4 linked regions of the Styela clava genome follow. The protein of the gene in region 1 binds, or shares a complex with, the protein of each later gene. Links are inferred from orthologs where the notes say so. Each region holds a gene or a part of one and is shown in the gene's direction. Other genes may lie near its edges.

Region 1 (6,831 bases):
TAATCTGCTTTTTTGGGGAATGGTGTAAATTAAATCGGTGAAAAATTCCAAAATAAAAACTAGAAAACATCCTAAAAATTGGAAAACCCTGTATTTTTTCGATCAGAATTGATATCTAAACTTTAAAATCCGCTAAGCATGTTTTAAAAATTCCTTAACTAAATTTGTTTGCATATTTTTTTCGCAATGTATGACAACCTGACATTTCAGGTTGTCCAGCCGGGCACGTTGACGTGTTGTTCGTGATAGATGGATCAAGGAGTGTAGAGGAAGCCAATTTTCAAATCGTAATTGCCTGGGTGAAGAATGTCACAAAAAAACTCGATTTAGAAAGCGGTCATACCAGTGTTGGCGTTGTTCAGTATTCTTCCTACAACCCGGGGTTTGTAATTTGTAATCAGCGAAACTATATATATGTATATACTAAATAACCATTAATAAAAAATTTGACAAAAAATGAAAAGTAATCGATAAATAACAACAGTTGTTTTCTGATTAAACTTGAACGTTTGTTATTCATACCATATAAATTAAAATAGTATTATTTTGCGCTGTTTCAGACAACCAATAAACGATCAAACATACATAAAGACGGAAATCGAAATAGGACAGGAAACTAATCAGACTTCCTTCGAGGTATGATTCAATTTTAACTGATTCAGTTTCAGAGAAATTTTCTACTAAAATATAAATTTATTAAGAAAATTTGATCAGATAAATTGCGTTGAAAGAAAATAACATATGTTTACGATAGGTACCACATCTGCAGATCACAAAATTGATAATATTTTCAATGTACTGTTTCAGGCAGCAGTTGGCAATATTTCATATTACCAATTTACAACACCTACAGGTTATGCATTGAGAAAAGTGATGTTTGATTTCAATGGAACCAAAAATTACGGCAGTCATAACAATAAACAAGTAATGATTCTACTCACTGATGGAAAGTAAGATATATTAAACACAAGATAAAATATTTACATATTACATTAATCAAAATCAAATTGCTACAAACATTTGGAACACCTCCTTTGACACGCCTCCTTTCCTATGTTGATTTTTTCGATTTCCGTTCCCCAGAAATTACTCGCAAGTTAGCCTACAATAAATGTCCCACGCGCCACAGTATAGAAACTTGTATTTAGTATAAAATTACAATTATCTTCATATTTTACCCCACCTTCAAATGGAAACTTCAACATAAATCTCGCTTTTCAGAGCTAATGCGGCAGATCAAGAATTTATTCCAGAAGCCGCCGCTGCGCTGCGTGATATGGGAGTGATAATTTTTAGTGTGGGGGTTGGAGATGCGCAACCAACCGAATTGCAGGTAAAAATAAAGTATATAATTATTGTTTTTATGATAATCAGTTTTCTATAGCACATATTTATTTGTGATATGAACACTTGTAAACAACGTAAAACTTATTTCTACTAATTTTATTTTAATTTAATAAAGCACCGAGATAGCATGTCGGCGGTGTTGTCCATTGTGCTGAGTCATTCCTGCGTGGGTTTGCAAGCTTGAATCCCATGCAGGGCAAATTGTGTGCAAGAGGATTGCTGGACTCCTCGCCGCCGGTTACGTAACCGCTGGTCGGTTACGGGTTTCTCCGCCATCAAGTCTATGCATTTGAAAACAACAACAAACTGGTAACCGAACCGTGGCCGTGGTTCGCCATATGATGAAGCTCTTATCGGATTGCCTCACCTCACCGGGATGAATATGTAAATCCTTTCCCTTCCTATCCAATATAAACAAATATTTCAGATCATTGCCAACGGGGCTGAAGGCAACAACGAAAGAGTAGAACTGCTGACTAACTTTGAAGATTTGGATAGTATTGTAGATGAGTTGGGAACAGAAATAAGAGCGGTCAATCCCGAAGGTAACGTGATACAAAAACATGATATGATTTTTCTTATCATATATCGTCAATACTTTTTATACAATACTTTATATATATATTAGTTAAACATCAAATGGGATTTGTCAAAATCCAAATATTTCCGTAGCGCACTCCCCGCTGTAATTGGAGCATGGTAAACCGTAGTAGTATATATTTACGGGTAAACTATGCGGTGGAAAAATTTAGCTCATGTGACCCAGAATGGCATCAGCACTACTAATACTACACTCACCTACCTATTCATGTGGTGGTCACGAGAGGGATATTGAGCTGATCATAATTCCAAGACTTGCGAAATGAGACCATATTAGTTTATTTTTACGTTAGGTGGAGCTGCGGATTTGTACAATCAGACCGGTTTTTCAATCGCTTATAGCAAGAAAAATGGGGTGAGTTACTTGACCTATAACGAACCCATGACAGAGTGGCTAAGAATGAAAACAAACAAGTTGAAATAAATTATTACAACAAATTTAAACTATAAATTGTTTGAAAACTTCCATTTTCATTGGCGTAATTCGTTTTGTAGTTTTGAGGGAATCAGTTTGAGCGGTTTTTTGTTTCGTATACTCATTGGTTTTCTGTATAAATGTAACTTAGATTGTGTCTAGATTCTAATTAAACTAATAAAATGAACCGTGCTGCCCATATGTTCATAAAATCAAATTACAATCGTGCCATCGGTCCACACTTTTTGAAAATAAAAACTGTATAAATAAACTCACATTTCAGGATTTCATGCTTGTTTTTATGTTTGTGTGAGTGTGAAATGGTGTGACTGGTGTGTGTACGAATTCTTTCATCGGCTATCGAAATGAAGACGCATCCGATTTTTCGGCGGATTCTGAAGGCTGATCGGTATCATTGCATATTAAGCGTCGTTATCCTTTCTCTCTGAAAGTAGGAATTCGGACAGGACATTTCACAAAATATTATTTATGAAAATAAAAACGTGGCGACTGTAACCAAAATTTTACTTCGATTTTGTCATCAATCGATCTTAATGCATATATTCGCCTGAAAAATATCCCCTTCAATACAAAGTTTGTTTTGAACTCGTTGCGGAGTTAAAAAATATCTGCCGTATAGGGTATAATGAATCGCGGATGGAATAGATCAGTTGGCTGTTTGGCAAAGATGCAGTCTCGCAGAGACTTTTTGGCATTCAACATTCATGTTTTATGTGAGTATTTTATTAATTAACTAATATCTGGTACCGGTACCAGTGTAAGTAATTATGAGCAAGGTAGCCAAGCCACTTTTATTCAGATGCCCTTTTCTTCTCTCAATACAATTACCGATGAAACAGCCGCTAGGTGCTGAGGCGGAGTCGAAATCGTACCCAGGTTGGCTAAGCTTCTTCGTTAGTCGGTTGCTGTATTGAGCTCATCTTTTGTGATGATATCTCGATCATTTATTAATCAGATCAGATTCGGAAATATTCGATTCGAAAATAAAATATTCGAAACTTACATCCCTAGACTCATGGCTAATCTACTCCCTGACTCCTGTACTTCCAAGTACAGAAGTGCTCAAAAAGCTTAGCGCTGTTCTGAATATTACTAATGACAAAATTTCAAAAAAGTTTTGATACTTCGCTTGTTTTGAATTGTACTTGAAATTTCCTCAGGATGAATATGTAAATCATATCCTAGCAATTCTTAATGCTATTTTACTTTTTCGTCCGACTAGAGATGAGTGTTGCAAGTGAAAAAAGCTTATTTTCAACCAGCATTGTTCCTAGTGCAGTAGTGTATATACCTACCGTCTACCGATATGTACTTTTCATCAGTTTGTAATTATTTTAAAAGCAACTCACACTGTTCTGTGTGATGTGAATTGACGTTTTTCTGTGTAAATCTGACTGATAAAGAATATAGCCCTTACGTTGTTGTAACAATCAGGTTATTACAGAATTAATTTATTCACATACTGTTTTTTAAGAAACTCAAATCTAAAAAATAGCCCGGATATTTTTTAACAAGTTTTGTGGAAAAGTTGTCACAAGATGTCAGAACCTATGGAGCAGTCGGACGAATATGACTCAAATATATCAGATTATCCATCAAGATGGCTTCATTTACGTAAAGTTTTAGAACGTGGTGGGCCATTCTGTCATCCTGATTTTGATCCTTGTCCAGACACTTTGAATTTTATGAAAGCAAATTGCAAAATTTTGGTTATTGGTGCTGGAGGTCTTGGATGTGAACTTCTCAAGGATCTTGCATACAGTGGATTTTTGAATATTGAAGTTATTGATATGGATACGATTGATGTTTCAAACTTAAACAGACAGTTCCTTTTCAGAGAAAAAGATGTTGGGAAACCCAAAGCTAATGTAGCTGCTGAATTTATTAATAAACGCATTCCAGGTTGTGTAGTAGTTCCTCATTACTGTAGAATAGAAGATTTTGATGCTGATTTTTATCGGATGTTTCATATTGTAGTCTGTGGTTTGGACTCCATTGTAGCAAGAAGGTTAGACTCTCTTAATTTATTATTAGGACACTTTGGCTAATTTTGCAAGCGAATAAGTAGTTAGTTGAATTTGTATTAAAAAATCATCAACTCAAATGCGTCGGTATTGTACTGATTTACTACTGTAGTATAATAAATATACAGGGTGGGTGTAAAAAATAGTAACATTTCTTTGTCCCACTCTGTATATTGTGAAACACATGCTAGGGAATATATTGTAACAGTTTGTGTAATTGATTTTCAGTTTTGATTTGAAGCCTTATTACAAAATGTAACTTAGATAACAGTACAAGCACAGGTGCGTTTGGAGTTTATATATTTTGCAGCAAAGAAACTTTGGTTTGAATTATTGCTTTGTGAGTTGTTCAATAATGTTAATCTGATTTTTCACAGATGGATTAATGGAATGTTTCTGAGTCTACTTGAATTTAATGATCAAGGAGAGCTAGATCAAACAACTATGGTTCCAATTGTAGATGGAGGAACAGAAGGTTTCAAGGGCAATGTAAGGGTTATACTTCCCGGGATGACTCCATGCATCGAATGCACTCTGGACTTATACCCTCCTCAAGTAAGACCATTATATTTGGATATAAATTTTATGTATTTTCTCTTGGCAACAGTGTGTCAATGCTCTATTTTTTTAGTTTTGTGTAGTTGTATGAGACAGAACTTGAATATGTGTCTGAAACCCAATTGAAAAACCTGATTAAATTGTGATATTTTGTCAATTTGGGGTAAATTTCTATTTCAAATAAAACTTAGAAGCAGCAGCAGAATTTATTCATTCATCCGGAATTATTTTATTGTGAATATTAGAATACCTTTTCTCTGATTAAACTGAATTATAATTTAATTCCAGAATATAATTCAAACAGAAAATCACAAAAATGTTGACTTTTTCCATAATTATAATTTATATACCTTTACATATAAAGTTGTACGAGTAATTTGAATCATTTTATGAAAACTTGAAACGAATGTCTTCGTTACTTGGTCGCACTAAATCCATAAGTATGCTTTAATAATAGAATCCTAGACATATTCCTATGTATGATGGGTTTACTTGGTGTATATTTATTTTAAGGTGAATTTCCCAATGTGCACTATTGCTCATACTCCGCGGCTTCCTGAGCATTGTATAGAGTATGTTAAAATCTTGTTATGGCCACAAGAAAAACCATTTGGACTCGATGTTCAAATTGATGGTGATGATCCAGTCCATATCAAATGGATTTTCAACAAAGCAGTTGAAAGGGGAAAAGATTACGGAATCGAGGGAGTAACATACAGATTAACTCAAGGTGTAATAAAGCGTATTATTCCGGCTGTGGCGTCCACTAATGCAGTGATTGCAGCAGCATGCACTTTAGAAGTTTTGAAGCTTGCGTCAAGTTGCTGCATGCCATTAAATAACTATATGATCTTTAATGACGCCGAGGGAATATACACATATGCATACGAAGCTGAGAAAAAAGAGGATTGTATAGTGTGCAGCCTACGGCCACAGAAGCTAAAGTTTCGAAAATCTGACAAGCTGCAAGATGTTCTTGACTATTTGAAGGTGTGTTTTTTGTTTAAGTTGATAAGATACTTAGTAACTCTATCAATAAGATGGCTATTCATAGCAATTTAGAATGGATTAAAAGGTTAGTTCAGATCAATGTTTTTGTCTTGGTGTGAAGTAAACTTCCCAAATACAGTGCTTGTCACTTTGACATTAAATAGATCTTCCGTCAATAAAAAACATTCCGAGAACTTCCTAATTGCTTGCTATACTGATTTACAGGAGAATTCTGCTTTACAAATGAGAGCTCCCGGTCTCACTACAAGTGTTGGTGGAAAGAATAAAACTCTTTATATGAGTACGGTCAAATCTATCGAAGTTGCCACAAAACCAAACTTACAGAAGACATTGGATGAACTCGACATTCAAAATGGACAAGAAATTGTAGTTGCAGATGCAACTTCACCGAACCCATTAATTTTTAAAATGCAGTATGACGAAAAATGAACCTATCTAGTATAATTATAGGTCTATTATTAGATTTTGATTGGTTTATAAAGTTCCTTTTAATTTGCTGAACTGAGTTTGCTTTCCTGCTGCTAGTCGAAGCTGTGATTGAAAACTTTGCACTGTCGATTTTGTTGTGAATTAGAAACGATGATGTGAAACCGGTATTTTACATATCTCATATCTCTCGCATTCTCATTTTTCTTCCATCTGCAATCTCTGAATAAATTATGTAGTCTTAATGAAGATAATTGTGAGGAGTATAGTTTTTCTTCTACATGCAATATGGTCCAACTTCGCTTCACTGGATGCAATAAACAGCTTTATTTATTTACTGGGTCTGATTTCGCTTGACTGAATTTAAAAATGCAATGAACATCTTGATTTATTTTCTGGAGTCGCTCCACAACATTTTCACTATCAGTT
Region 2 (6,885 bases), on another chromosome or scaffold:
ATGACACTTTTTATGAGTAGAAAATGTTCGTATTTTGTGATAGGTGTGCCGCAACCAATGACATTTAACAACATGATGCGCAACTCCGGCATTTTTGTCCGAAGATCGTATTCGATAGCACGCTCCAATGCACATACTTGACGAGACGAAAACGAGCGGATGTGTGCTGCTTTCAAGGCGTAGCACAAATGGTGTTCGTGCCTGCTTTGACAGTTGTTGTCGATTTTAATGATATTTTGGAAAATTGAAGGTAAAAAGAAATCGGAAAAAGGTAAGGTAAATACTATTGTTGTATATCACACCCGGACATAGCACTGTTAAGTACATGTGGGAAAGCCAGCTTTTGTCAAATACTACGAAGTTATCAAATCAATACGGTACGTAGTTGCCCATTTGCCGAAATTGCGTATTTACTTACCCTTTATGGTTTCAAATAGTTCATGCACCTCCATTTAGATTTTTCTAATCAGTGTAGAAATATATACTCATTGCTGTAGCATACTATTGCTCATTCACTTTTATTTGCGTATTGAATCAAAGGGTTAACAAGTTCACCTAACATTTTAATCATACCGGTCTATATTGTATAGTATGATCTCTCAAGTATTTGGAGCCACGAATGCTTGTAATTTTCTGACTAAACCCTTTTATTAGTTGATTTATATACCAAATTCAATAAAACATTTTTTACATTAAACATGAGATATTGGATTTATTAGCTTTTCCATTCTAAGTCATATTGACTGCTTTATTTATTCTTAACGAAAATTAATAAATCTCCTCTCTTTCTTCAGATGTGAAAGTTGTGGACAAACCTGTCTAAGCATTGTGAGACTCCTGTAGCACAAGAGGCAATAGCAAAAATAGTAAGTATATCAATCAAAAAATTAAGCCGACATAAAGCAAAACTTTCAACTATTCGTCTAATCTCAATTTCCTATTATTTATTCACAGGACAACTGTAGCAGAAGGGGAGATATCAGAAGTCTGGCGACATATCAGTGACAGTGTGATTCCAAGAAATATAATTAGAATACTCCATAAATGTTTGCAATAGAAGAACAACCTATGAAGGCATGCAAAAGCATTTGACCCTCCGGTAGAGTTGTGTATGGCCCCTACATCCTGCAAGGCTTGAGGAAAATAACTAAAAATTCCAATGCGTAAGATTGCATAAGCGGTCTTCTTTGTGAAAAAGCACAAAACATGCCAGGCATACTTAAAACAGCTTTGAAAAATGAGGATTACGGGTCACTACACCTATGCTATATTTGGTTCATCAATTTTTGGTAGTACTATAGAAAAAATTCAGGAAAGGGTATAATCATGATTCATGATAAAATACTGGTATATATTTTGGACAACTTCAATCTAGACCAAACTCGCGGCCCCAGAGAACTTCCAGTGCGGCCTCGAAAGCTTAACAATAATTGTAAAAGTATTTTGGAAGTTTTTTTTATCTAAATGTAACAGCTTTTTCAAACTTTTTTAAGTGAAATTGAATATTCACACAGAAAACAATTTACTAAAAGTAGTTTTAAAAAATTAATTTTTTTTGTTCACATTTTGACCCATTTAAGAATACACATCAAGCTAGCAAAATAATACTTGAATAAAACACTTGAGTTATTAAATTGAACGCAAAGTACATGAAGAAGGTGGCATTTTCGAAGAAAATGGGAGTTGCAATATTTCTGCATTTCACAAAATTCTCTGAAGCACATTGTTTAATTTGTCATATTTCCACCAGTACAATGAAAAACACAATAAGCTCAGCAGTCAATATGGCAAATTCGAAGACCAACTTCGAACAGAAAATTTCCATGTGTTTGTATATTAATATAATTATACAACTTTTTTGTTACTAAATATCAATAATAATTCAAGCAATCCTATGCCATGCAATGTGGCGCGAAATGTCTTGTCGAAAAAATCTGTCATTTGTTTTTTTACTGATCTATACATGAAATGATAAAAGTAACTTTTTTGCATTACTGGAATTAATTAAACATTTGCAAAGATCCAGATTAACCCATGATCATGTGACCTCGTTAGTTAGAGTTGGTACTATAAAATTATTTCATCCTGGCTTTAGTATGCTGGTGACACAAAAAAGATGCCAAACGTCAGGACAAATGTAATTAAAAAACATTGAGTTTATATTGTAGTATTTTTGTTAATTTTAGGTCCATATATTTAGATTAAGTCATTTTTTTAGTGTATGTATTATTCTTTCCTTATCCAAAGCTTGTTCAAAAATGATTTTGATGGTTGTACATAGAATTTTATGATTTTTTGTAATAAATACAGTAACTTGCAATAATAGTGGAATGCAAATATTAACATGAAATTGCATTTGAAATTAAAGAAAATAATAAAACTTAATCCAACTGTTTAGTTGCATCCTAATATATGTCACAAACTAAAACTATCTTGAAAATATCTTTCAAGTATACATTATCAAAAACTGTTTGCGGCACTTTTTACAATTTCCAACATGCAATGCGGCTCTCGAAAACCCATGAGTTTGACACCACTGATCTATTCTAGACAATTCAAGCATTTCTTTGGGAAATATTATAACTTCAAATAAATTGAAAATAATCTTGCCGTATTAAATACGAAATCGTTGCTATCATAAAGATAAACCAATTCAGCCACTGGAAATATATTGGCCTTCACAAAGCAATGGAGGCAAAATTAAGAGTTCATGAGCTATGAACTTTTGTTCTTTTCTTTGTCTTAAACTTTTCATACTCCACAGCCCCTATTAATTTTTTTTTTAATTTCAATTACCATGTGATGGTAATACATATCTTTAACTTGTATTTTCTGTAATGATGTATTATCTCAATGTGTCAAACTTTTAATTAGTGTGCATATTTTGCTTCCAGATGACATAAATGTATTGTCCTGTTTATTACCTCAGCTTGGAGTATTGACAAGAAAAAGGTGCCAGTAAATTCTTTGTTATAATCAGAATTCACAATTAATAGGAATTATAAACAGCCACCAATCAATGAGAATTACATGCGAAATCCCTCACAATAAATTTGTCTAATAATGTCTAATAAATTCACCTACTAAAGCAAGTTCGATAGGTGCAAACTTTGTGTTATGGAATTGTATCACAGCACCGTTGGGAGAAGTAAAAACAGTTTTGCTGTTTTGTATGACACCCTCTTTAAATGAAATTTCAATGTTTACGCGTAAACATTAAAATTACTAACTTTGAACTTTGTCATTATCTGCAAAATGTCCCACACAAATCTTTACTCTATCGCGTTTGTAATCTTCTCTGATAAAAAAAAAAGTCTATGATGTCCAGAATTACTCTTTACAGCTTGTATGTCATTCCAGCTTTCAAAGTGAGCAAAACTTCTTAGATATAGAGATTATTTTCTTTCGTTACAGGCGCAAAAAGGCAGGTACTAAACGTAAAGAGGACGCCGATTAGCAAAAGCAAGCGGAAAACGGTCGCGAAAGGCGACGAGAAATATGTGCATTGGAGCGTATCATGAAATACAATCTTTCGCATGTAGTCTTATGGAGTGACGTCAGAGTTGCCTATCATGTTGTTTAATGTCATTGGCCGCAACTATTTAAATAGCACTGCCCTAGATGCTCTAATATTTCTGCGTCGATATTACATGAGATAAATACGTGATTTTATTGTCATGCAAGTCGTTTGAATTTTTTACTTAATTCCGAAAAATCACGGGATTATACGGCTCAATCCCGGGATATCCCGATACCGTGATTTCAAGAACTGGCTCCGAAATCCCAACCCTAGTGGTGCATAGAGTCTTGTTTAGTGTAACTAAAGTTTAAGTTGTTTGTTGTTGTTAAAATATCTATATTTTATATTACTGAATACCGTACTAAATTCGTAATAAATTTTTGGTAGTGTTTTTTCTAGTTACCCGAAGTTGTCATAACGTCATATGCCATTCTCAATCATTTCGATATATATACACACCACTATCTGAAAGGAGAAGTTACTTCTTTGTTTATTCCCTACGATCGCTTTGTCGAGATTGACCATTTTAGCCTGGGTGTTGTCTTTGGTCAAGATTTGTCTCAGACAGTTTTGGGGCCATAATTTGAAGCCGGAAGAAAATCAGTGAGATATGAACCAATAACATTTGTGGGAAGAGAATTGAGAGCGTGTATGGGTGTAGACTGTGCAGTTGAAAATTTTTGATCAGAACAGAAAAACACGAAGAAAATGATAAAATTATTTTCACTAAAACAGCAAAAGAAAAATGACGAAGCATCGGGGGCTTCATCTGGTAGAAGAAAAGCTTCAGCGGCTCAACTTCGAATTACTAAGGATTTAAATGAACTGCAGTTACCACCTACATGTAGTACTATTTTCCCTGATCCCAATGATTTACTGAATTTCAAGCTTATCATTGCCCCTGATGAGGGGTTTTACAAAAATGGTAAATTCACTTTTACATTTAAAGTTGGGCAAGGTTACCCTCATGATGCCCCAAAAGTAAAATGTGAAACCATGGTTTACCATCCTAACATTGACCTTGAAGGAAATGTTTGTTTGAATATTCTCAGAGAAGATTGGAAACCTGTTCTTACCATTAACTCTGTCATTTATGGGCTTCAATATCTTTTTCTTGAGCCCAACCCTGATGACCCTTTAAACAAAGAAGCAGCGGAGATGCTAACAAAAAACAGACGTGCATTTGAACAGAATGTATACAAATCAATGAGGGGTGGTTACGTTGGGAGCACATATTTTGAGCGATGTTTAAAATGATTTTTTTGCAATGTTGATATGTATTTGATATCATTTTGATGCCTTTATAATGATAGTTTATTTATATAGGCTATTTGGTAAGTTTTACCATTGACACAGAATAAATGGACTAAGGTTGCTTTTGACGACTCGAATAAAATACTGGCTATTTTGTAAGACATCTTTTATTTCACCATACGTTTTATATTTATTTTGCATAATTCTGGTTACTCTAAGTGGGCTTTTGTGTAGAAAATTCAGACAATGTTTTATTATAGAATTGATTGAAATTTTATCTTTCCAATGAAAACAAATTCATATCTACATTTGGTCAACTTTTAAAAATAACTTTCTGTCTATCGAATGACATAATTTCCAACGATTTTCGAAATTCAACTTATCTATATGCTCTGAAATAATCTGTTGAAATTTTTGAAACACCTTATAAATCTATTCTTAACATTTAACATAACACAATGACGAAAAATGCATTTAATTTCTTATTTCATCCATATCATTTAAATATCTATCAATATGCATTGTGGTATTTGATTTACAGTCACAATCTTAAAAATTTAATTTTGTTGCTTGAGCTTTCTAATAATGTTTTGTATGAAAATGCTACCTGTGCAGCTTTATACCATCGGAATTTTAATCCAGAATTTAAGATGTGATTAATACTGATTGAAAATATACTAAAATTTAACCAATGAGTAACTGTTAAGTTGTCCTCAAACATATCTAATTTTTCAAATCAATTTTAATATGGTGATTTTTTTTTGTTCATTAAAATTTGTGAAGATGATTGGTTGATAAAAAATAACCCAACAACTGTATCACTGATATTAGTATGTCTATATCTGAAACACATTTCTATTTTGATTATTTCAAAAAATTCATTCATGTGGCAAAAACATGCTATAAAGCCAGTTTTTCGATCAAAATATCCTACACAGATATTAAAATCAAAATATTTTGACAAGGGATTTGTTATCCTTTATAGCAATATTAAAATAATGTTCTTTAAAAATTCCTCTTTTCAATATGATGAGACAAGTGTCCAAAATATTGGTATTGGCCATGGTTTTATTTTCTGTTATTTATGTTAAGACGCATAATCAGAATCAGTATGATTGTTTTGAACCATGCTAGAATACTTCCCAAGTTCATTATTTTTGGTCAGTCAATGATTTTGTTCAAAATCATTTTAATCTTTGATAAATATCTTATCTGCTGCTGATAATCATTGCAGATGAGGGTCCATGTTTTTGTCACTGATAAATATTTGAGGTTGAAAAATGTAGCAGGTGTCTAACTTTGTGCTATGTGCTCAAATGTGGTTATGTAGGCTACCTCAAAGCTGATGAGCAGAATATTCCCTAACTTAATAAAATAATAAAACTCTGGCATTTTTGTGTTGTATTGACTATCTGCTTTTTTAATGAGGTGAAATACCTGTTTGTGACAAAATTACATTCTTATATGGAAGCGTGATATAATAGCATAGGAACCTTTCCCCCATTACGCAATAAATTCCAATTGCTTCTCAAAATTTTGTTTATATTCTGATGAATTGCTCTCTATACCACACCTATGAGCATATTATATGTGACTGCATGTCTCTTTGTATTTTATTTCAATTCACATTGCTTATTGAAAATAAATAAAATACTAGACCAATCCAATCAAGAACAAAATGGAAAATACTTCAAGAGAGCTTTTTTTTGGATAAAGCCGGAGAAAAGTAAAGCACTAATTTGTTACGACTGTATTCTTTTTAATATCAATTTTGCAAAATTACTAATCACTTTTTTTGCCCAATCTGATCGAAACATTTAGCTTATATCAAGCTACAGTTTTAAGCCATCGTTTTAAGTTTTGTCTTATGTTTCTATAATCAATTCATGATTTTTAGGAATACGGTAGTTCAAAATAGTTTTACATTAAAATTATCATTTTGGGCATTTGGCAGCTTGTATTCGAATAAGCTTTAATAGAATCTGAAATTAAACAAACTCATAATTTAGTTAGTCATAATTTTTCTGCACCATAAAGTTCTATCAAATCAAAGAGAGACTATATACATTATGCAATATTTCAAAATATTTTTGAAATTGCGATTTTTCAGT
Region 3 (6,816 bases), on another chromosome or scaffold:
CGTACAAATGCAATGCCAAACATGCAATCGTTGTACAAGTCAGAACATGCTGCAATTTTATCGTCAGCACAAGACATGGAATTACCCCCGACTGATTATACATTCGAGATCAGGATTGAAAAGGACGTTAAAAATATGTACTCAGCGCTGCAACGGCATATTTCAACTTACAAAAACGAGCACCATGGCCCAACTTTAATTGCATTTCAGTCTCAACTTTCTGTTACTAAAATATCGAGTCTTATACCAGCTGTGAGAGAATTTCCAATAATTCCATTGCATAATAAAGACCCCGAGAATTTATATGCAGTTTTGGAATGGCAACGTGTTGGAGCACGGAGATTGGTTCAACAATTTTTAAACCTGTGTCCTCTATTGGACCAGTTACTAAAATATAGCCGATATTTTTGCGTTCCCGTCGGTAATCTGCCACTGGACCCAAGCCTGTTTGTAGCGGATTTAACTTTCGCAAGATATTTACTGAAGCATAACCATGTCCTGTGGTGTTCTGCGACAGAAAAACCAGATCTAGGAGGAAAGGAAGCGTTCGACAACAAGTTAGGATCGGATAATTCGAATAGTACAGTTGAGGTGAACACCAGTGGAGCGTATCCCAGCGTTTGTATCGAATTAGAAATCTCGTCTTTAGCTGTGAACACGATTATCCAATCACATCGCGTTAATGATGTCGACGGGGGCGTGAGTGCAGGCGTGAGTTTCGACGTAATTCAACAATCATCGCTTGAAGATATGATAAGTGGACAGAATTCTGCGTTGAATTCGCTTGCTAGTGATGACGATACTGTTTTGTGTTCAACTACATTCAGGATCTTGAAGTCAATGGTACAAGGTTGGCTTCGGGACGTGTCTGTACATCGAAACGAGCTGGCTGATTTCCAACTTGTGCATTTCTATCGATGGTTGGGTTGTCGTTCTTCTCTACTTTTCGACCGTGCGTTGCATAAAACTCTACAAAACATGATGCGTAAAGTTTTTTTGCAGTTGATCTCTGAGTTTAAGCGATTGGGATCTAAAATCGTGTACGCAGATTTTAGCCGAGTCATTGTTTGCACAAAGAAACGCTCTGTCACAGATGCAGTGGCGTATATCAGCTACATAGCGTCGTCTATCACATCTAAAGATTTATACCATTCCATAGATCTTTCTATCGTGCAAGCTTGGGAGTACTTACTATGGCTTGACCACACTAATTTTGCCGGGGTTAAAGGTCAAATGGAAGAAAACGAGGACAAAATGGACGATAGTTCGATCAGCGTTAGCAGTAAAAAAGATAATTCTCAATCAACGGAGCCGCAGAATAAATCTATCCGCTTCGACGAAAGTTTGATAAATGAAAGTGGGGAAGAAAATCCAACACAAGGTGGCGATGTTGTTGAAATGAATTTTAGTCTCGTAAAATATCTCCCTCATGCTGCCGCAATTCAGACTAGCTTTGAAATGATTATTGGGGGGTACATTTCAATGATCCATAGAGAAACAAAACGTGAAAGAACAAAATACCTCCCTGGACAGACTCCTGTAGTTCGAAGGGGGGACACGCAGTCGCAAGAAGAAAAAGGGGGGAAATCAAAAATCATTCCAAGCGACCCTTCCATTACGGAACATATTGTGACATTCTCACAGGAGTTAATAACAGGAGAACTAACTCAACAAATTCTGAGTATCGTCCAAAAAATGGCGAAAAAATTAGGCTCGGACCCAGTGAGTGGAAGCAAAATGTTCCCTATTTTACCTGGGTCTCATCTTTCTCTCACAAATCCGACGTTGGAATTCGTGAAATCGGCGTGCAAAGTTTTGTCGCTCGATTCTCACGTAACGACGCAAGTTCAACATCTGAAACGGAATTTATTAAAACTTATCGGAGTCGGAGAATTTTCGTCGTCTGCAGAATGGAACGATCCATGTGCTTCGTTTGTTTTGGGTGAAGTCGTTTGTGTTACGTGCAACCACTGTCGTGATTTAGATTTATGTCGTGAATACCAGACACTAGATGGCCAGGAAAAAATTGTGTGGATGTGCGAGTCTTGCGGAACAGCGTACGATATTTCATGGATCGAAAATCGACTTATTGAAAGTTTACAAAGCCAAGCAGCAAGTCATGTTTTGCAGGATCTATCGTGCAAAAAATGCAACGGAATTAAACAAGGAAATTTATCGAGATATTGCGAATGTGCCGGAGATTTTGAAGTAACGATACCGGTGTCAAAGTTCACAAATACAATCAAAATATTTCAGAATATTGCTGAGCACGCAGGAATGCCTTTATTACTAGAAACTGTAAAATGGTTTTCTGAGTACATGTGAACATTAAGTGACAAGTACATGCTAAGGGCGCGGGTTTCTAACTTTTTTTCAACTCTTCATTCCTCCTCAACTAGGCACACTAACTCTTCTTTTGGCATTGGAGGGATTCCTCTCTAGTTGGAAAATGTGCTAAGGAGTGTATAATAGGTCTGGGAATCTTTTTGTTATTATTCATGTGTAATGTTAATTATACTACGCTCTTGATATTAACATCGTTTAATACGTCAGTTTTGCGTGAGTAAAAAGGTTTGCTTCAATGCAGCCTGTGAAGAGGTTGGCTATTATTTGCGGAATTGTGTAGTTGACTATTATGGCCACCACTCTCTATTGTAACTTTAATATGACACAAACACTGCCTTTTTTATGTAATAATACTGCCATTTTGCTAAAATTTTTGTGTTTTTTCTGGGATAGCTCACATAGTCTATCGCTCTAGTTACGTAGCAAACTGGAATTTCGGTGCTTGTCCGACTTTATAAATACATTAAAAATTTGAAGGCAGCAAATTGTCTGTGCAATGGCTTAGTTATTGAGGAGTCAAGATAAAAATGTCAAATACATAACACTGGTTATTTTCATTTGCTTTTCACTGGATTTGCATGTATTACTATGAATAGGCTAGGCGGCTATCACTCTTTAACTTTGATATGACTGAAACACTGCCCTTTTTTAATTTTATTTTTTGAAACATGATTTGAATAGAGATTTTGACCACCAGTGGGAGCAAGACTGAGCCCTTTATTATTCTTGTGTTGAATATTTGAATTACAGTTCATATTGTTCCTGTATTTTGGCTTTTTACATTTTCACTGACGCTGAAAATTTTTGTTATTTTCACAAAGATTGTGGCAATTAGTTAGTATGAAAAATGACAATTATCTAAACCAGTGGTTCTCTAATTGTATTCCCTTGTGGCCTATTTTCAGCGTAAAAAAATACTTCAAACTTCTAAAACCTTTGGGAAAAGAAGCATCACAAATTACCTTAATCTTGTAACACCTTTAAGAAAAATTTCTAGTATAATAAGAATGTCTTTTTATTAATATTAACAACACAGTGAAAGTTCCCATAACCAAACTAATACTTATGTCTATTCATCAGCTTGTCAAGCTGAACTCCCAAACCTTGGTTGACCTCAAGTGTAAATCACCTCTGTTTTTTCAATTTGTAACTCACTGGAGGTCCACAGGCCCATTTCAAAAATTCCCGTGACCACACGTTAAGAAAGTTTGCTCTAAGTTTCCAAATTAAACTATTTGAAATCATTTATAAAATGACAATATTTTTACACCAATTTACTTTATAGGGTGTTCATGAAGTCCTAAAATGTTTTAAAATTGAAAAAAAAAATTGATCCATACCATATATTGTCCATGAAGTCCCTTTACAATTTCTATTTTATTATGAAGTCAGTTCTCAATACATCTTAACCAGGTTTGTTGTTTTTTAATCAGTAATTGTTCAAGTACATTTACTTCATTTAATACATCTGTGAGGGTCAAAACAATATATGGTATCGATAAATTCCCTTGCAATTCGAATTTTTTAAAGACTTCATGGACACCCTATATATTCCATATTCGTTATTATAATTCCTTGAATCATACTTGTGCTGAATGTTCTGTATTTTTCATAAATTATGACCATATTGTTCCTTTTCACAGATTTAATAACAGGTAATCTATATTTGCTACTGAAAACGGGATTCATATGGAAATAACAAACTGGATAGTTCGGTTTTAAATTGAGAAACACTGGACAATCGTGGATTTTATATTTTCGTTCAGTTTTCTGTGGATATCATAAAAATTAGATTTTATTGTCTGTACCAAGACTGGTGTAAAAACATCAAACTGAAAGATAATAATTTGGTAAAACGAAGAGGTTTGCCTATGCGAGTCCTATTTTTCGCTGAAACATTTGAAGAGTCCTTTAGAAAAATCTTGGACTTTTACAATTAGTTTAGCTTGTTTGAGAGAACTCGGAAATTTTGGTTTTATAAAACAAGAGGCACCGTTTTTGTGAATCGTTTTCTGACTGGAATTTTTGGATCTGTATTTGGAGAACCGGAATAAGAAAAAGGTGTTGAATTTATAATTGGACATTTATATTATTGTGGATCTACCTAACTGGATTACCTGAAGAAGCGACTCTTTCATACATAATGCTAACACTGTCAAAGAAAATAAAAGAGTCTGGAAAAGGAGACGCCAAGAAGAAAGAATCCTCCCCGAAGCCACAGCATGGCCGAGTTTCAATCCGCGATCGATTACTGATCGGGGAGGTTCAAGAATTAGAAAAAAATATCACTTCAGCGACATGTAAAGTGACTTTTCCAGAAGCGGACTGTTTGCATAAATTTTATGTTGAAATTTCCCCAGATGAAGGAATGTGGGAGCACGGGACATATGAATTCAAAGTTGAAGTGCCCGAAAATTATAACATAGCGCCACCGAATGTAAAATGTATGACAAGAATTTGGCATCCTAATATTACCGAGAACGGGGACGTATGTTTAAGTCTATTAAGGGACCATTCGTTGGATGGGACTGGTTGGGTACCGACGCGCACCCTAAAGGAGGTAATATGGGGACTTTGCTCCCTATTTACGGACTTATGTGACTTTGATGACCCATTGAATGTTGACGCAGCAGACCATTACCATAGAGATAAAAAAGGCTTTACTAGAAAAGTTCAGTATTATATACAAAGATATGCGTACCACGAGAAATAGACATACCGTATATTCTAGTGTATAAGATGTTCTCGCATGTAAGCCCGGCGTCTTAAAAATGGCCTTATAACGGTGAATTTATACAAATTTACGTATTAGTCGACCTTACGAATCGTAACCCACCGTATGCTAGGGATGTCAAATTTAATATTTGAATATTGCTACCTTCAAATATCGTTTTTGTTTTAATGAAAATATCCAGGCTTATGCTCATACAAGCCATACTCTGGCTTATATGCGAAGATATGCGGTACCCAACTAATTTAGGTTTTGTGTAATTTGCAATTTACTGGGTCATAATTAGGACTGGGCATTTTCGAATACCTTGTGATTTCAGAATCGAATCGAATAATTTATTTCGAATCGAATCTAGAATACTTGAAAATATAAAATTGTAAGCGACTTTATTATAGTAATTGGTCCTCTCAACAAATGAATTAATGAAGACATAGAATAAATCACCCAGATAGATTACTGAGCGTTCACACAGAATAACAAACACGTTTTATCAATAACTCACTACAGAAAATAGTCATATGTTAGAATTTCGTTGAAAAAATATGACTTCAATGAAAAAAAATTGGGGAATTCACCTCGACCATTAGCGGAAAGATAAAAACAAGATGGCGGCGGTTCGAAATTTAGCTCTGAACCGATTCGAATAATTTACTATTCGATTCGAATATTCAATTCGAAATGCCCAGCCCTAGTCATAATACACCACTATAGTTCTACATAACACTAGTTCCCAACCTTTTATGGCTTGTGGCCCCCTTCCGGAGACTTTTAGCATTCATGGCCCCCTTTATCATTCCAGTGGTATTTATAGTGCTAATTTGATTGGTAGATTCCAAATTTTGTTTGAGCTTTACCAGTCCGTCACCTAAAAAGGGTTGCCAACCACTGATCTAGTCCATCTGTATAATTGACATATCCACTTGCTATATTCTTAATGGAGTTAAAATCCAAAACATATCATTTAATTACTGTTGCCTTATGGTTAGTTTGCTCTCTTTATGGTAATTTCTAAGATATCATACAGAATATTTTTTGTCAGATAACGCTCTTTACTACGTGTTCAGGGCCTTGCTCAGAGCGAGCATATGGAACCCTACTAAAGTACTGTTACTTTCAATTTTTTTGTTGCATTATCATAATTTATAAAATATCAGTTCTGAATTATTCTTTGCTAGATTTTATAACTGATCCTGTTTTTCTCTTAAATTCTAGATTTGTTTTTAGCTTTAGTTTTTAAAAATAATTCAACCAAGCATGTCCGAGACAGAACCACGAAAGGCAGTGGAGCATGAAGAAAAGGTGGAGCCAGAGGCTCAAGAGGTAGAAACAGAACCCAAGGCAGAGCTTACACAAAAAGTTGACCAATCAGAAACAGAGCAGAGCGTCGCAGATGAATCGACAATTGTGGATTCTTCAATAAATGCGGAAAAATCAGACGCAATTGTGGGCGATGATGAACAAAGTGACAGTGATTCTGATGAGTCCCTTCCTCCCGGGCTTTTAGAGCGGCCTGTTGAAATTCTAGAGGCAAAAAGAGAGCGAAAGAAAATTAAACGTTTCACGTACGATGACGAGGCAACTAGTCCCGCTGTTGACAAGAAAAAGAATGTTGAAATACCGAAAGGCAGTGGGATCCGCATCGGTAATCACCCTCGTGTGGAATATCAACTACAACGTAACTCTGCAGAGGATTTAAAAATTATTCACAAATTTTTTTATAACGTACAAGGCACACATCT
Region 4 (7,825 bases), on another chromosome or scaffold:
TTAACGAGTTTTAACTAGAGCTCGACCGATATCACTTTTTGACGCTAATACCGATATATCGGCCAAATGGCCGATAACCGATATCGCAATGCCGATATTAATATTAATCATATTTTGAGCCACGCTTTTATAATGCACCTTGTGAGTCTATAGTATGGACATATGTTAGGGGTATTGAAAAAATATAAATTGATATATTTTAAAGTGAATCGTGATAATGATCCTTCGATATTGTGATAGCATATGTGCAGTTACATGTGAAATTTTTAATAACTTTGTTTCCAGAGACTCTCAATACCTTATTTAGTCAATAATAATGGATTAAGTTTTTATTTTGTAATTTTCAGCAAAATGATAAACAACCATCAATATAGACAAAACTGTTACCCCATAAATTCAAAATTGGAATTTTGGGAGGTCACAAATTCCGAACTGACATTATTGCTTTGAGCTACCTGTTTCATGTTTCTATGATTACTAACTCACCAGCTTCCAATCGATTCTATTATAGAACCACCGTTTAATGCTGTTACTAAATTTGCCTTTTTCTCATTGTGTACTCTCTCAAAAATGTCACTTTATAAAATGTCATTGTTACTCCAGATATAACTTTTCAGTTATGACCATGCATGAAATGGCTAATCATAAGACACCGGGAATTAGGAGAGACACCCTTATAACGCAAAATGAAAGCGAGAGAAATATACGCAGGGGCGAGAGCTGTTGCAGCACGCAGCCCGGCGCTTGCCGAGTATGACCGATATATATCGGCGGTATACGGCCGATATGATATATCGGCAAACACGCAATATCGGCCCGATATATCGGTCGAGCTCCAGTTTTAACTGATACTGATCGAAGAAAACACTCCAAGCATATTATTAAGCCAATATTTTGTGTCATCTATTTTATGACCCCTATTAGTAAATACCCAGTTTCAAAGTATATTCCCATGTCTTCAATGACTATCCCATCATTATCATGATTTTGCATTCATGGATCATCGATTTTATGATCATTTATAGAGTCACATCAAAACCTTCAACTCTCACTCAGTTGTCTAGCAGGAAATGAATGAAAATTGACTTGAAGATGCTTGATAACAAGAATAAATGATGGCATGATGAGTAAATGGTGACTAACTTATGGTGAATAAACTTACGGTAGATAACATTTCACTACTCCTTGTTGAGTGGTTTTACGAATATTTCCTACAATTACTAATTCTTCAGTTTCATTGTTTATTTCCTGTGAAATCTCATTCACTGAGACTCTGGCATCATCTGTTTGATAACAAGATAAAGTTGAAAAAGAGTTTCTATTTTACATGCACAATATTTTACAAGTTTCGACCGGATGACCGGATGAGACTTAATTAAATGTGGAACAAAATTTATATCAGCCTCATCCATTTCATCACACAAAGTAGTTTGCTATCTTTCAAATAGTAAATTATACTCACCATCTCTTTCTTCAATCCAAGCTTCAAATGCTCGTAGATTAAATGAAGACCAATTACTTCCATAGTATTTATTTTGATCCAGATGAAGAACTTTCTTCCCAATACGCGACAGTGCTCCTGATAATATCGATTCTGAAAGACCTGAGGTAATAAAAGCGTAAATTTACCATGTCGTGATGGCCGATAAGAACAATTGAACCTTCTGCAATGGCGATTCAGATAACAATATTACTGTAATAGGGCTGGCAAAACTTGCTTAACATAATTGAGGGATAAAAAGTAAAATTGTACATACAACAAAGGAACTTAATGTTGCTGAACTATTTACATTCCAGTTGATCAACTCATCATGCAGTCATGTTAAAGCAGTAATGGTATCACAAACTGGAGAAACGTTCTCAAGTTAAATAGAATATTTTGAAGGATTTCAGTATAAGACAAACTTGATATTAATTCATCTGTTATAACACGCAGTTAGTTGCACTTCCAAACTATATATAGGCAATATATACGCCTATATATATGATAACGGGATTATGGTTTACCTTACCAAAAATTATAATATAAAGCAAAAAGGGGACATATAAATGAATTGGTGTATGGCATTCGTTTGGAGTTATAGGCAACTTCGTTGGAATAAGGCCCAATGACACTAAAGTGTGTGTCTGCCTACTCGTCCTGCAAAGGTATATATAGCTGTATAGACAAGATTGCAATGTTAACAATGCTGAAGACCATTTGCATTGCATTGGACGATACTAGCCTAAAAGTGTGTGGCAGAAATGCAGAAAGGATTTGACCTTGTCCTAATTGAATACAGAATAAGTGAATATTTTATTTAGAAGCACTACTGCACTACGATAAAAATATTTTGTTGACCAGGGAGAATTGAGAATGAAACGTTGTGGTTTTGAAAATCTAAACTGTTTCAACATCCCGACATCGGGAGTCAATTGAAAACTTCATGCAAATCACATCTAACGTTGACGACTGATAGATCTCAATGTGTATTTTCATTAAATTTCTTGTACTCACCTGTCCCAACAACAATAATGTCGAAATCATTGGCAAGCTCTTCATTCATCATGTTTTACCCAAAAGAAAGGTTGGTAAACAAAATGGCATAAAGTTACCTATATTAGGATAACTTGAACCCCACAATTCAGCAATTCTACATGGGAGACGGAGGGTTAACCATCCATATATTTATGGAGTTTGATTTAGAAAAAAAAACGTAATGAATTCTGGAATTTAGGTGAGGGACTAACACAGTAATAACATAACATATTCTTCAATAACAAAACCAATCCCCACAATCAGACAATCAAATGTACAGGCAGCTAGCCTACATCAAAAGTCTGAAAGTGGGCTGGCGTCACTGAAATTGCGACTGCCGTATTGCAGTCGTTTCGTACCTGAACCGTCAATAAATACCGGTACTAACACCTGAATACCAACACCGTACTGCTACAACAACTTAAACAAAATGCAGCAATCCCGCTATGCGCTATGCCTGTATGCCCAAATTGAATATTTGGCTAGGGAGAGAGAAATATTTAATATGTATGTTTCCCCGAGCATCGATTTTCTTGTTTATTTTTTCTGTAACAATGGCCAATCAGCAAAAAGTAAAGGATGACGTAACTTTTTTCGGAGATGTTGTACCGTAAATATATACTACTACGGTAGTAGTATATATTTACGGTTGTACCCAGATAATCAGTATTTTTGCCATTGACATACACAGGCAGCAGAATGAGCACTTCAGCAGAAAACTGGGTGGATAGTTGAAGCTTGAATATTTTACGCAGCGTATACAATATATGTATACGTATCTGTCTCCTATGCCTAGGAGTTGATTTGTAACATACAGTATTCTAGACTAGAGAGAGAGAGAGAGAGTTTATTCAAATAAACAGATGTTTTCGGTATATGACTGGGAAGCAACGATACGACCTTTGGCGGTCGTCAAAGTCAGTTACCACCCAAACTTGGGGAGAGAGAGAGACTTAGAGAAGGAGAGAGAGATACTTGGGGAGACTTAGAGATAGATAGATAATGATTTATTTCCGATACAAGTACATAATACAATAAGCATGAGCAAATAACAATAAGCATAAAAATGTATACGGAAGGGGACGGGCAAGACTTCCAAGGTCAACAAGGTCGACCGACCCCTAAGGTAAGATTCTACCAAGACAGGACACTCTAAAGCAGGCATTATAATTACAATAGAAGAAATATAAATTTTTGAGTTTTAAGCCCGGTTGAGAGGCCCCAGAAATCAATTCCCCGAAAGTATTGGAATAGGAATAAAAATTACAAGGAACAAGAACATCACATGCTTACGCAGATTATGTTTTTAATAGTAATTGAAAATGCGAGAAAGAATAAGAAGGGCGTCGGGCTAATTACAATTATTTATACTTTATGTTGGACACGAATCAAATCGTGAGAATGAGGCAATTTCTATGAATAGGTGAAAAATTAAAAATACCATACTTCCCAAGCTATATAGTACATATAATTATTACTTCAGACTATATATAATAGTATCTTCAATAATTTTCACAAAGACATATGAAGAATCCATATATAAGATTGTGAATTCCTATCCATTTTATAAATCTGATAGCATACACTGAGATTTGCATGATATTGCATCATATTATGATCCGCTGAAATGCTGTTTTAATTTGCAAATAGGGTGGTATCAATCAAAGATTGAAAATTACAAGAAAAAAGAACATCGCATGATTATGCAGGTTATACTTTTTTTAATAGTAAATAAAATGCGAAAAGAAGTGAAAAATTAAGAAGGGCGTAAGCCTAATTATAATTTCCTCAAATTTAATTTTACTTTATGTTCGACAAAAATCAAATAGTGAGAATGAGGCAGTTATTATGAATGGGTGAAAAATTTAAAATACCATATTTCCAAAGCTATATAGTACATATGAACATGAACATGTACATATGAGAGAACACAACTTGGATCCTTATCGTTATTATGATAGTGCTTTGGAGAGTTGGCGCTTACAAACTTGTTCACATGTCTAAAATCATCATTTTTTCTTCATTGAAACAATCAACGACGTGCCTCTTATAGGTTCTGGTAGCTAATTCTAGTCTAGTTGGATTGGAAATTGTTACGGAAGTTAACAGGAAAATCGGGGAAACATCAATACCGTAGTAACTACGAAGTAATTATTAGTTGTATAGTTCAGCTGACTCAACATATATTAAACGGGAACATATCGTACGTATTATAGTTTTTGAATTGTTTGTATTGTCAGATTGTGAAGTTTTAAAAATAAACTACCGGTATCTATCTATTTATAACCTTTGAACTTTATACAAGGGAATTCCCCATATGTTGTCATCTTGTTTACAGATGCATGTTGTGTGTAAAAATATTCGAACTGGTTTTCTGAAGTCTGGATCCAAATGCACTAGCGATGGATAAGCAGCAGAAGTATGATCGTCAGTTACGATTGTGGGGTGACCATGGTCAGAGATCATTAGAAAACGCTAAGGTCTGCCTCATCAATGTTACAGCCACTGGAACTGAAATACTGAAAAACATGGTTTTACCAGGTTTGACTATTCAACCTTGAACTTAAATTACGAATTTACGGAATTTTACAGCGGTCTTACTACTGGTACTGAATACAGCGCGAAACACCACAAAGAGCGCAAAACAGCGCAAAACAGAGGGAAACAGCGCAAAACAGTGTGGAAACAGCGCGAAAGAGCGCAAAACAGAGGGAAACAGTGTGAAGCAGAAAAAAATTTTGCAATGAGTTCGGGGCACCTTGTTTTGAGTTGGAGTACCACGGCAGCAAATTAAAAACACAAACCAACGTATATATTCAGGCTGTGCGACATATTGCTGCACATACTTGTGGAGCACCAAAAAAGTAGATAAAATTTCGCATGATGACCTATAATCCGGTACATAACCTTGTAAATATGCCGGAAATAGCGCCATAAAACCATGGCGAGAGGCGCCGTGGTTCTTTCGTGGCAGAAGGTGGTAATGACTGCGTCTCCTGTTTTGCGCTGTTTCCCTCTGTTTTGCGCTGGTTTCCTTCTGTTTCGCGCTGTTTTCCTCTCTTTTGCGCTGTTTCGTGCTATTTTGCGCTGTTTCGCGCGCTTTTGCGCTGTTTCGCGCGCTTTTGCGCTGTTTCGCGCTGTTTTGCGCTCTTTGCGGTGTTTCGCGCTGTACCGTATTCAGTAAGTAGTAAGACCCATTTTACAGTGTTGTAGAATTTAGATGTCTCGTGTAGTTTCGTACCTAACGTACTTCTAGTGGGCGTAGCATAACAATTTTTTGATATGTCAATCCTAACCCCCATCTGACTACGCCATCCAAAAATTAAAACACTACGACATCACAATCACGTTATAGAGCTTGCCAAATATACGCACGATCGACCGAAATGGCATTGGCGCCGACGATAAGGAACTGACTGACGTTATCGATCTCTCTACTATTGAAATCGATGCGACGAGAAAACGAGAGAAATAACTGTTCGATTTCGGGTGCTCGTTTGCGCGTCTTGGATGGCAGTTCGTGTAGTTTGAAGGGCTCTATTACGTCACTGTGACGTCGTAATGACGTAATTTTTGGATGGTGTAGTCAGGTGGGGGTTAGGATTGATATGTGAAAAAATTGTCATGCTACGCCCACTGGAAGTATGTTAGGTACGAAACTACATGAGACTCGAATTTAGTTGGTTCCTTAATGTTTAAATGCAACAAAACCAAAAACTATCTTTTAATTTTTTTTCAAATCGACAACTATTGTCAGTCTGGGTTTCATGGCCTTTTTCATGAGGAATGGGGTGTGCAATTAGTGACTGGGGCACGCCAAACGCCTGAGCCTGCGTGCAAACTTACCGAAATGTGTGAAATAGGCTTGCACGTAATTGACAAAAATCAATTCCGTAATTACGGCCAAATCGATTACGTAATGACCCCGTAATTGCGATATTTTTTTCACACATTTAAACCTAGCATACCAACCAATTTAATCCACTTCTATTCCGAATGGGACATCGAAGTTTGGTTTTCATATTCCCGGCAGTACCACACGCCGGAGACAGATGTTAAAGACAAATATCAAGGAGTGAATTCAAAATAATTTTATTCTGATTTTTATCTTTTGTATTAGCTTTGATTTTCCTTTATCAACTTTATCACCAAATTTTATGCGATCAATTTTATCATTACCAACACTGGTAATATGTTTAAGAAACGATAGTTCACTTTTTTAAAATCGTATTGACGTATTAATACGACTTTCGTATTGAATAAAAATTCCGGGTTGCTAATTTATTAATCAACTACAAGCGTATTCTCTCGTTTGATTATACTTTCGCTTGCCTCGCGACGAAGACTTGTTATTTCACCGTTTTTTACAATATCCGACTTTACTACTTAGTTAGCATTTTATAATAATTATTGATGCCGACTTATTGACGATATTCCGAATTCCATGCTTCATTTTACATTAAATCATTTCGCGGCCTAAATGTTATAACATTATTTACGATAAATTTAGATCAAATATTAATTATTTGCGCATTATTTAAAATACCGTACTTATATGACATGCCTTCTCCGAAAATACAAAGTTATATCGCAAAACAATGCATTTTGTGACATTTATTTTGCACTCATGAAAATATTAATTTATTTTTCTAACTCAAGTCGACAATCCTATTTGCCAAGATTGACACAAGTTTGGTCGAGTGCCGGTGGTATTCAGGTCGACGATAAATCAAAATAAGTTGCCGCATTTGGTAAAGACAGGTAATCATATTTGGCCGACATATTGCGATTTGCGAGGCATTGTGAAAAACATATTGAGCAATGCCAAGTCCGGACAGATATATAACGATAAAACCGGTAACAGAACATCAAGATTTTGTAATAGAAAATGGATTTCGCGCAGAATAAACACGGGAAATCCCGTCGTAATGTTGTTTCTCTGCCGTCTCAATCGCTTTACCGATGCCGAAAGGACTAAGTTGCGTTGGTTCATTACGCAATTTCTCTTCCGTCTCTTGCTGTTTGATAAGCGCGACATTAATTATCACGACATTTACAAATAGACCATGTTTTATAAGTTGATCTCTTACATTCTTCACTCATTTCACCCGAAGAAGTTGAAACCAGGTGTGTTGGCGTCCATCGGTCTCGACACAATTCTATTCCTTATTTACGGTTAATATGTACATTGGCCATCTTAGATAAGTTGATAATAGGTTTGTAAATGACGCATTATGCCCTCCCCATCTGCCTAACAAGAGAGAGAAAAACGGCTGCGAATACCGGAACTCTAACTTCTTTTACTTA

What was found.
Region 2: the proteins of NEDD8-activating enzyme E1 catalytic subunit-like (region 1) and NEDD8-conjugating enzyme Ubc12-like are in contact, whole or in part, in a crystal structure (PDB 2NVU), measured with the Homo sapiens proteins. The link is inferred for Styela clava from reciprocal best matches to the Homo sapiens genes UBA3 and UBE2M. Residues at the interface, in NP_003959.3 of Homo sapiens: His53, Pro54, Asp55, Glu61, Ser62, Phe65, Cys70, Gln149, Asn152, Asp153, Thr154, Arg157, Gln158, Phe159, His160, Ile170, Arg173, Trp174, Ser181, Leu182, Leu183, Asn184, Pro192, Ile195, Val196, Pro197, Leu214, Met217, Arg254, Met255; in NP_003960.1 of Homo sapiens: Lys3, Leu4, Phe5, Ser6, Leu7, Lys8, Gln9, Gln10, Lys11, Lys12, Glu15, Lys21, Gly22, Ser23, Ser24, Lys25, Lys26, Ala27, Gln31, Leu32, Gln35, Lys36, Ile38, Asn39, Glu40, Phe51, Ser52, Asp53, Pro54, Asp55.
Region 3: the proteins of NEDD8-activating enzyme E1 catalytic subunit-like (region 1) and NEDD8-conjugating enzyme UBE2F-like are in contact, whole or in part, in a crystal structure (PDB 3FN1), measured with the Homo sapiens proteins. The link is inferred for Styela clava from reciprocal best matches to the Homo sapiens genes UBA3 and UBE2F. Residues at the interface, in NP_003959.3 of Homo sapiens: Ala401, Thr403, Thr405, Leu406, Glu407, Gly408, Asn410, Arg411, Thr412, Ser417, Val418, Thr419, Ser420, Ile421, Arg424, Thr425, Gln442, Glu443, Ala445, Ala447, Asp448, Val449, Thr451, Pro452, Gln453, Thr454, Leu456; in NP_001265234.1 of Homo sapiens: Thr27, Arg28, Arg29, Val30, Asp34, Lys35, Val38, Lys39, Val41, Ala42, Glu45, Val54, His55, Phe56, Pro57, Asp58, Pro59, Asn60, Leu62.
Region 4: the proteins of NEDD8-activating enzyme E1 catalytic subunit-like (region 1) and NEDD8-activating enzyme E1 regulatory subunit-like are in contact, whole or in part, in a crystal structure (PDB 3DBR), measured with the Homo sapiens proteins. The link is inferred for Styela clava from reciprocal best matches to the Homo sapiens genes UBA3 and NAE1. Residues at the interface, in NP_003959.3 of Homo sapiens: Trp34, Glu35, Gly36, Arg37, Trp38, Asn39, His40, Lys43, Phe44, Glu46, Arg47, Ser48, Gly49, Pro50, Phe51, Thr52, Phe56, Glu83, Lys86, Asn87, Leu90, Ser91, Val106, Ser107, Leu109, Asn110, Arg111, Phe113, Leu114, Arg116; in NP_003896.1 of Homo sapiens: Glu10, Gln11, Lys12, Tyr13, Asp14, Arg15, Gln16, Leu17, Arg18, Leu19, Trp20, Asp22, Glu44, Lys47, Asn48, Leu51, Pro52, Gly67, Glu68, Ala70, Gly71, Asn72, Asn73, Phe74, Phe75, Gln77, Arg78, Ile81, Phe92, Glu95.

The regions. Positions count from the first base shown.
Region 1 is NC_135257.1:11,905,304-11,912,134, forward strand, and holds NEDD8-activating enzyme E1 catalytic subunit-like, read left to right. Parts: upstream 1-3,828; 5' UTR 3,829-3,921; coding exon 3,922-4,391; intron 4,392-4,784; coding exon 4,785-4,962; intron 4,963-5,478; coding exon 5,479-5,955; intron 5,956-6,180; coding exon 6,181-6,405; 3' UTR 6,406-6,468; downstream 6,469-6,831. Other genes in the region: integrin alpha-D-like, read left to right, coding at 211-382, 561-636, 808-950, 1,222-1,333, 1,775-1,892, 2,241-2,371. UniProt on the Homo sapiens protein: Catalytic subunit of the dimeric UBA3-NAE1 E1 enzyme. E1 activates NEDD8 by first adenylating its C-terminal glycine residue with ATP, thereafter linking this residue to the side chain of the catalytic cysteine, yielding a NEDD8-UBA3 thioester and free AMP.
Region 2 is NC_135261.1:7,731,792-7,738,676, reverse strand, and holds NEDD8-conjugating enzyme Ubc12-like, read left to right. Parts: upstream 1-3,863; 5' UTR 3,864-4,228; coding exon 4,229-4,777; 3' UTR 4,778-6,349; downstream 6,350-6,885. Other genes in the region: fanconi-associated nuclease 1-like, read left to right, coding at 6,350-6,500.
Region 3 is NC_135254.1:1,510,844-1,517,659, forward strand, and holds NEDD8-conjugating enzyme UBE2F-like, read left to right. Parts: upstream 1-4,007; 5' UTR 4,008-4,489; coding exon 4,490-5,059; 3' UTR 5,060-6,290; downstream 6,291-6,816. Other genes in the region: DNA polymerase epsilon catalytic subunit A-like, read left to right, coding at 1-2,325; uncharacterized protein LOC120343828, read left to right, coding at 6,332-6,816. UniProt on the Homo sapiens protein: Accepts the ubiquitin-like protein NEDD8 from the UBA3-NAE1 E1 complex and catalyzes its covalent attachment to other proteins. Together with the E3 ubiquitin ligase RNF7/RBX2, specifically neddylates cullin-5 (CUL5).
Region 4 is NC_135263.1:19,899,082-19,906,906, forward strand, and holds the start of NEDD8-activating enzyme E1 regulatory subunit-like, read left to right. Parts: upstream 1-4,803; 5' UTR 4,804-4,920; coding exon 4,921-5,059; intron 5,060-7,825. Other genes in the region: rab proteins geranylgeranyltransferase component A 2-like, read right to left, coding at 1,163-1,283, 1,463-1,603, 2,498-2,549. UniProt on the Homo sapiens protein: Regulatory subunit of the dimeric UBA3-NAE1 E1 enzyme. E1 activates NEDD8 by first adenylating its C-terminal glycine residue with ATP, thereafter linking this residue to the side chain of the catalytic cysteine, yielding a NEDD8-UBA3 thioester and free AMP.